2 linked regions of the Arabidopsis thaliana genome follow. The protein of the gene in region 2 interacts with the protein of the main gene of each other region in a pairwise test. Each region holds a gene or a part of one and is shown on either strand. Other genes may lie near its edges. The genes, in order: TIM23-2 and OEP16-3.

Region 1 (3,916 bases), on a different chromosome or scaffold from region 2:
CGACCTCCAAGATCACATACAAGCAAGTACAAAGGCAACGGTTGGTCTTTTATGAGTTGTGCTCCTTCCAGAGTTCAGTGGGGTGATCTCCCATAGCGTGTGGGGAGTTCCCTTATCTTTGTATATGAAACATTCTTTTAGTTTTGTTCATGTAAAATTCTACACTTTAAAGAAGACTTGTTTATTGATGTAAAGACCCTCATTCGAATGAAGAAATCAGACGAAATGTCATTTTGCAGGTACATGATCTTCTGAAACAAAACAAAAATTCTAAGCAAGCTGCAAAACTGAAAGTTTAAGGCTTTAATAAAAAGATTAGAGGACACTATTTGTTCTTCATTTAGAGCAGCTGATAAGGTCTAGAGACGGTAAGAGTTTAGAGAAGGTTTGCTACACAATATGCCTGAGACTTGAGAACCAAAAACCACAAAACCAAAAGTGACTGATCCATCATCATAAGCTTGTGAAATCTTGGAGACAAAATTAATAGCTAAGAGCAGAGAACAGTCCAGAGAAATAGAACCAGGGGGATATAATAGGTAACAAAATAACACCATCAAATATCAGGTTAGTACTCAATGAGATAAACAGAGGTATACAATTATGTGAACACACTACACCATCCCAATTAACAAAATGATAAGAAAAAACTTGAGAGAAGAGCTTCATTTTCAAATGTAATACAACACATCAGTTTCTCAACGAATCAAGAAAGAGTTAACATTGATCAAAAACAGAAACATAAAACACTAACTAGAACAAACACACTCATGACAAATTAAATTACCAATCGGCAAAACATTTAATCAGTATGAATATAAGAAAAAGGTTTGCAGGTTATTCTTCAAAGTGAAACTGCATTATGACTTGACATACAGACTTGTTGTACCTCTAGAAACCAAATAAAGTTTTCATTTTTATGATTCCAAGACATACCAAACCTATCAAATTCTCACCATTTCCCCTATCAAAAATTTCAACAACGACCCGAAAAAGAGTCTGCCAATTAGACTCTTGCAGTCTTCAAATGGGCACATACCGCTTCACAATTTGCTTCCCAGCTACAACAGCTCCAGCCGCAAGTCCACCAAGAGCACCAGCTACAGCTGCAGATCTCACTCCTCTCGCCGCTCTACAAACAGCTCCGGTTCCAAGACCAGCCACCACACTGGTCCAAACATCATCTCTATCCGTGGCAGCCACAATACCACTCTCGATCCCTGCGTAAACCAATCCAATGATACCAATCCGATTACCCCAAGTTCGACCAGTTTGACCAGAAGAGTTCAAGATCCTGTTGATTTTGAGCTTAGTAGTGTCGCCAGATTCGAAGCTTTTGACTCCAGTGATGACTCCAACAGAAGCTCCGGCAACGGAGCCACCGAGGTAAGCTGTTCCGGTGTAGAAAGTGAGATTCTCACCCCAAGATCTACGTTGCCTTAAAGCCTCCTCCGTGAAGAGAAACTCAGGGGAGGTAGGAAGCTTGTAAAGGTACTGAGATTTGTTGATTGGGACTTCGTAGTTTTGGTAAGGATTGTAAAGTCTTGTGTTTTCGTCTGACCCATGATCGGATCTGTTATTAGCCGCCATCGATGGAAGAGAAAAGTCTAGGTTTTAAGGATTTTGGTGGTGGCTAGAGAGAGAGAGACGACGGAGAGGAAAGAGAGAGAGAGAAACGTGTGATGATGTGGTTGTGTTGTGTCTCTCTGAATGTTTGGTTTGGTTGCCGAAATGAGAAATGAAACCAAACTAAACTAAAAATCTATGTTTAGGGTTTTTAGGGAAAGACTCAGTCCAGTTGTTTCCAGATACGCGCAGTACCAGATTCGCTTAATACTCGCGTTTACGTTTATTTCGAACTTAACCCCATTTATTTTATTTTCTCTATTTAAACCCAAGTTGGTTTTCTCTTACCACCACACACTGTATTTGCTGATATTTCGAATGTGACCCCATAAGTTTAATTTTTACAAAATTAACCTCTTCAACATTGGACTTTTCAAAGTCATACTTAATTACTTTGCAAAATTGCAATCCATCGTGACAACCAAACATCCTCGAATTTTCAGGTGTTTCTCTTATAATGTCAGAAATATTTTTACGACGAACGAACCTAATTTTATGAATTTTTTTTGTCATCAGTTTTTATTTAGAGAACTAAACTTCAAATAAAATAATTAAGGATTCAAATACAAAGCTTATTTGTTTTTAATTTAAGTCAAAAGGCCAAAAAAAAAAATTCGATTTAATTTCGAGAGCGTAAATAGAAGACAAAATAAAAAGCATAAATTCGGAAGTAAATAATCGAAAAAGTTTTGCAAACTGGAAACCTCCTCCCGCAGTCACACAACTGCGCAGAGCCAAAAATAAACGAAACCTCCGGCGAAAGCTACGGCGAAGAGACTGCGTCTAACTCCGTTTACACGCCGATTGTCTTGGAGAGAGAGAGAGAGCACGAGGTAAATCACGCAAGGGTTAGATGGGAAACCAGAAACTAAAGTGGACGGCGGAGGAAGAGGAGGCGTTACTCGCCGGAATCAGAAAGCACGGTCCTGGAAAGTGGAAGAATATTCTCCGGGATCCAGAATTCGCTGATCAGCTCATCCATCGCTCCAACATTGACCTAAAGGTTTCTCTTTTCTTCACTCACCTCTTTAAAATCACTCTCGTTGAACCATATATTAAACCTAGACATCGAATTTGAGACCAACCCGGAGTGCATTATGTACTCTGTCGTATCTGCTTAGTTTAAGATCCATAAAAAATCAAAACTTTTGGCAATAGGTTTTATTAGTGTTGCCTCTTATCATTGGTTATAGGATTAGAGATTCCTTGGATAGATTATAAGTTTTTTTTTTTATTGATTCAAGTGTGCAATACCTAAAGCTAGCTTGGTTGAGTTGGAGATTTGAGGTGGAAAGAGTAGTACTGTCCTTCATTTTGCTATGGATTTCTTTTACTTGGTGGTAGTCTTATGAAGAAGAGTTTGAAAATTTTGTGTGTTTCAATACTTAATAGGATAAGTGGCGTAACTTGAGTGTTCCCCCTGGTACTCAAAGTTTAACTAATAAGGCACGGCCAGCAAAAGTCAAAGAGGAAGGCGACACTCCGGCTGCAGATGCAAATGATGCTGTCACTATTCCACGGCCTATTCCTACTATTCCACCTCCTCCCGGTCGGCGTACTTTACCTTCTGAGTTGATCCCTGATGAAAATACAAAGAATGCTCCTAGGTTTGTCTTTCTTTGTTCTCTATTTCTCATACTTGAGGCCAGAAAGTATGATGAGAGACTAGTTCCATAAATGCTAGTCTATCAACTCTGAGTAATAATCTTCATCATGTATTGCTAAACTTCTGATATGTCCCTATTTTCAGGTATGACGGGGTGATATTTGAAGCTCTCTCTGCTTTAGCCGATGGTAATGGATCTGATGTCAGTTCCATTTATCATTTCATTGAGGTTTGACAAATTTCTCTCTGCTATTTATTATGCACAGATCAGAAAATTATATGTGCTCGCTTTGTAAACTACTTAACAGATTATTAGAGACATCATCTATATATGTGGGAGGGATAGTTATGTTATTGGCACGTGTAAACTCTATCTTACATTGACTTGTGCAAATGGCTTATTACTACTATCAGCAATCTTAGATGATTCGTCCTTCTCAAATGAGAACACCGAGTTCTAAATGTAAAGTCTTATACTACTAATTATTTGTACTTTGACGTTTTATAGTATGATAATACTTGTCGTGAAGCTGTCCACTATGCATATCTGAAAAAATGTTAGAACTCTTGATTTTACTTAAATTTGGTCACTTTCTGTTATTCTTTTATCACATTTGGCTATATAATAGCTTTTGTATTGGACCTTACGACTGAGTGCTAACAATGGTTTACTGTGGAAAGAGC
Region 2 (4,350 bases):
GCTTTAACGTCTTTTTATTTTCATTTTTTAAAAAACTTTACAGCTTAGTTTTGTAACCTGGTCTTGTGTTTGTTGGACTCGTTGGGCTCATTTTTGGGAATATGTTTACGTCTACTTGTAGATGCTTCTCTTTTATTTTTCTTTTGATTTTGTCTTTCTAAATATCTAATCCAAAGAGATATGAAATGAATGGACAAGAAGAAAGCCGTTGCCCTCATTTTTGCTTCTTTAGGTCATATCATTATTGAGGGGGACAAAACTAGTGTACCATAGCATCATTGACGTGATCATTGAGGAACTCTGTTACATTATATTACAAGTGTGTGGTTTTAGATTTTAATTCAAAACTGATGACAAAAGCTTATAATGACTGATAGAATGTATACAAACGGTAGTTAACGTGGAGAGGTCTTGTCTTTGGAATGTTCTGTTATGTTGCTTTTCTTTGAAGTTAACTCAATCTGAATCAATCACATAGGTTTCATCAGCTTCCGGAATTTGACCTAGAGAAAAGGAGTTGCCGCAGGAGACTCGCTGGTCATAATGAGCGACGAAGGAAGCCACAGCCTGCGTCTCTCTCTGTGTTAGCTTCTCGTTACGGGAGGATCGCACCTTCGCTTTACGGTTAGATCCTTAAGCTCGACACATAAGACCGATTCATGTACTTTTCATCCTTAAAAGATAGATGTATATGCTACAGAAAATGGTGATGCTGGAATGAATGGAAGCTTTCTTGGGAACCAAGAGATAGGATGGCCAAGTTCAAGAACATTGGATACAAGAGTGATGAGGCGGCCAGTGTCGTCACCGTCATGGCAGATCAATCCAATGAATGTATTTAGTCAAGGTTCAGTTGGTGGAGGAGGGACAAGCTTCTCATCTCCAGAGATTATGGACACTAAACTAGAGAGCTACAAGGGAATTGGCGACTCAAACTGTGCTCTCTCTCTTCTGTCAAATCCACATCAACCACATGACAACAACAACAACAACAACAACAACAACAACAACAACAACAATACATGGCGAGCTTCTTCAGGTTTTGGCCCGATGACGGTTACAATGGCTCAACCACCACCTGCACCTAGCCAGCATCAGTATCTGAACCCGCCTTGGGTATTCAAGGACAATGATAATGATATGTCTCCTGTTTTGAATTTAGGTCGATACACCGAGCCAGATAATTGTCAGATAAGTAGTGGCACGGCAATGGGTGAGTTCGAGTTATCTGATCACCATCATCAAAGTAGGAGACAGTACATGGAAGATGAGAACACAAGGGCTTATGACTCTTCTTCTCACCATACCAACTGGTCTCTCTGACTTGTCTTTGCATCAGAGAATCTTCTTACAATGAACGATTCTGCAATATCTTATCTTTTTGCTTCTTTGTTTATTCTGTTATCTGCTATCAATAAACCAGACAATTGTTGCCAGATAATGGCTTTTGATTTTGATTTGTTGTTTTATCTCCATGAAAATCCAAGTTATGAGATCAGATTGATTTCTTTAGCACATCAAGGTTCCATATAATGAATCTATAATCATCCTAGTATATTAGTCAAAGCAGGAGCTAACATTACCTTTTAACTTAAGGCTTAAGCCATAGCATTATCATCAGCTTTGCTCAAACTCAACATCTTAAACACTTAATTAGACTCAGAGATCTATCGACCAACGAAGTGAACTGCTTTTTCCCCAAAACCCTAACCACCCACTTTCAAAGATTCGTCCTTTATGGATTTAGCTCCCCTGTTTCCAAATGAAACCTCAAAAAACTTGAACCATATATACTCATCAGAAGACAACTTAACTATGGCAGCTTTTCAAATATGATTCTTATCTTTATAAAAATCTTTCGTCAGAAACAGTAAAAGTAAGACGATGATAGAGACCTTTCTTCCTAAAGATCTCTCATCATCTTTCATGGTCGTCAGAGCTTTGCTACAGAGACGTGAAGAGAGAATATCATAAATGGGCTATATAATGGGCCCTAAGAGGCCCACATGAATTTCCGTATGATTCTTGTAATTGGGCTTTCTCTGGCTCTACTGACTCGTCTCCTGAAGAACAACAACAAAACATATTTCATTGAGCTCCTCCACTGAATCGCTCTCATCCTTCGCTTCTTCGAATTCCAAAGGTTAGACTTTCCTGAATCCTTCAATAATCTCTCTTCGTTGTCTTCTGTAACATTTCTTCTATTGTTAGTGATGGATTCCATTATTTTCCTTGTGTTACAACTTTGATGAGCTCAATGCTTTCACAAACTAGGTTTCGGAATTTTTGTTTCAATCCAATGTCTCTATTTGGGTCTTTAAACCAGATTATATTGAAGATCTGGAAAATGGGTTTATAATTTTGTAAAGACCGCGACTTTGAAAACTTCAATTTGGTGAAATTCTTTCAAATCCGCATCTTGTAAAAATCACATTTTTATATTTTTGTTGATTGATCTTGTTCTCTGTTGAATGTTTAACTTGTGTGCGTTAGGTAGAACAGTAGAAGAAATCATGGATCCAGCTGAAATGAGATATTTGGAAGAAGAGGATGGTCCGTTGATGAAGACAATCAAAGGTAGTATCACTGGTTTTGGTGCTGGGACTATTTACGGAACCATTTTAGCCACATGGAAAGATGTTCCAAGAGTGGAGAGAAATGTGGCTCTTCCAGGACTTATTAGAACACTGAAGATGATGGGAACCCATGGGCTGACTTTTGCTGCTATAGGAGGTGTTTACATCGGTGTTGAACAGCTGGTTCAGAATTTTAGATCCAAGAGAGATTTTTACAATGGTGCTATTGGTGGTTTTGTCGCTGGAGCTTCTGTGCTTGGCTATAGAGGTAATGGTTTTTCTTCTTCACTCATGGTTCGTTCGTTTTCATTGTGTTTGCATAAAACAATGTCTCGATGGTTAAGTAGTTTAGAACTGATGTGATTTTGGTGAAGACCATTTGAAGTTACTGGAATTAGCAGTATGTAGTTCACTTCATGTGTTTTACGAGCTTAGTAGTTATTGATGGACAAACAATGATCTCGAGTGGGAGTAACTAAAGGAATTGTAATGGGAAGAAATTGATTCTTCCTTACCTCAAGTTAATGTTATTTGGTGCCTAGTGTAGCAATTCTATAGGATAGCACAAGTGTCAAGACTTTGATATTGAGTGTATACAGGAAACTCTCAAAATCATATATATGTAAAGATCGAAAGTACATAGCTTTGAGTGAGAGATGATGCTATAGATTCGTGCATTCTTATGATGCTATACTTAATTGTTATTTGGTTTACTTTGGTTTTCCTCTTTTTTTACAGCAAGGAGCATCCCGACAGCGATAGCTGCAGGTGCAACACTAGCTGTTACCTCTGCTTTGATTGATTCTGGAGGTCAGACCACAAGAGTAGACAATGGCAGAGAATACTATCCTTACACCGTCGAGAAAAGAGCTGAAGCTGATTCCTGATTTCTCTTTTGGTCACTGAGATTAATAAGATGTGCATTCGCTGATCCGGGGATCTTGAGATAATCTCTTTTGTTTATTTTATCTGGATATGTGATATCATGATACTCTTTGCTCTTGTTTCTTCTTGTTTTCTTGAGAGCGACTTTCTCACATCTTTTGTCTGAATGTTTCCTGCAATAAAAATTCAACTTTGTCTGCAGATGTAAACAAATGTTTTAGCTTTCAGTAATCATTTTAATCAGACATTTGCTTGCTTCTGTTAACCTCAAGCTAGTTTCTTTATCTGAAACTATAATAGATTTGAACATGACAAGCATAAGGAAACAAACATGTAACATGTATAACAATCAGATGATATGGATTTGGAGATCTACATGTAAAAGTAGAGTGAATACGTGGCAATAACTCATTGGCTATCTTAAATTTCCTTGTGGTATGGCTAATCTAGTGGTTCTTGTCCAAGTAACTATCGCATCACAGTGACGAGTTTTTTTCCTAGAGACCTCTGCTGCAATGGCGGGGATCATAAGCCCTAGCCCTACGGCTCTTTATTTCACCAGGTAATACTAGTTCCCTCAACTGAAAGTTGACTCCTTTGTATAATTCGCCAAGTTGTTTAATCTTGGCGAGTTCTCGTCCAAAACAAGATAAAGTTAACAGTTTCGATTTCTGATGCAGTAATGTCGGTGGGAGGCGACTGAAAGCAGTGAGCTGGGCGGGAAAGAGTGTCTCCGGGAACGTTATCCGCCGGAGAAGCTTGAGAATTGCTGCGGAGCTGAAATTCGTGAATGCAGAAGAAGCAAAACAGTTAATAGCTGAAGAAGGTTACTCGGTGGTGGATGTAAGAGACAAGACTCAATTCGAGAGAGCTCATATAAAATCTTGCT

Evidence for each region.
Region 1: the proteins of OEP16-3 (region 2) and TIM23-2 interact in a two-hybrid assay, tested with the Arabidopsis thaliana proteins (one study listed by BioGRID).

Annotation. Positions count from the first base shown.
Region 1 is NC_003070.9:27,381,251-27,385,166, reverse strand, and holds TIM23-2 (translocase inner membrane subunit 23-2), read right to left. Parts: upstream 1,803-3,916; 5' UTR 1,612-1,802; coding exon of another isoform or gene 1,591-1,611; coding exon 1,024-1,590; 3' UTR 643-1,023; downstream 1-642. Other genes in the region: AT1G72755 (uncharacterized protein), read left to right, coding at 1,349-1,386, 1,584-1,611; AT1G72740 (Homeodomain-like/winged-helix DNA-binding family protein), read left to right, coding at 2,480-2,629, 3,019-3,233, 3,377-3,461. UniProt on the Arabidopsis thaliana protein: Essential component of the TIM17:23 complex, a complex that mediates the translocation of transit peptide-containing proteins across the mitochondrial inner membrane. Links the inner and outer membranes.
Region 2 is NC_003071.7:17,588,129-17,592,478, forward strand, and holds OEP16-3 (Mitochondrial import inner membrane translocase subunit Tim17/Tim22/Tim23 family protein), read left to right. Parts: upstream 1-2,122; 5' UTR 2,123-2,471; coding exon 2,472-2,844; intron 2,845-3,314; coding exon 3,315-3,463; 3' UTR 3,464-3,724; downstream 3,725-4,350. Other genes in the region: SPL9 (squamosa promoter binding protein-like 9), read left to right, coding at 479-624, 701-1,323; AT2G42220 (Rhodanese/Cell cycle control phosphatase superfamily protein), read left to right, coding at 3,977-4,023, 4,142-4,350. UniProt on the Arabidopsis thaliana protein: Voltage-dependent high-conductance channel with a slight cation-selectivity; selective for amino acids but excludes triosephosphates or uncharged sugars.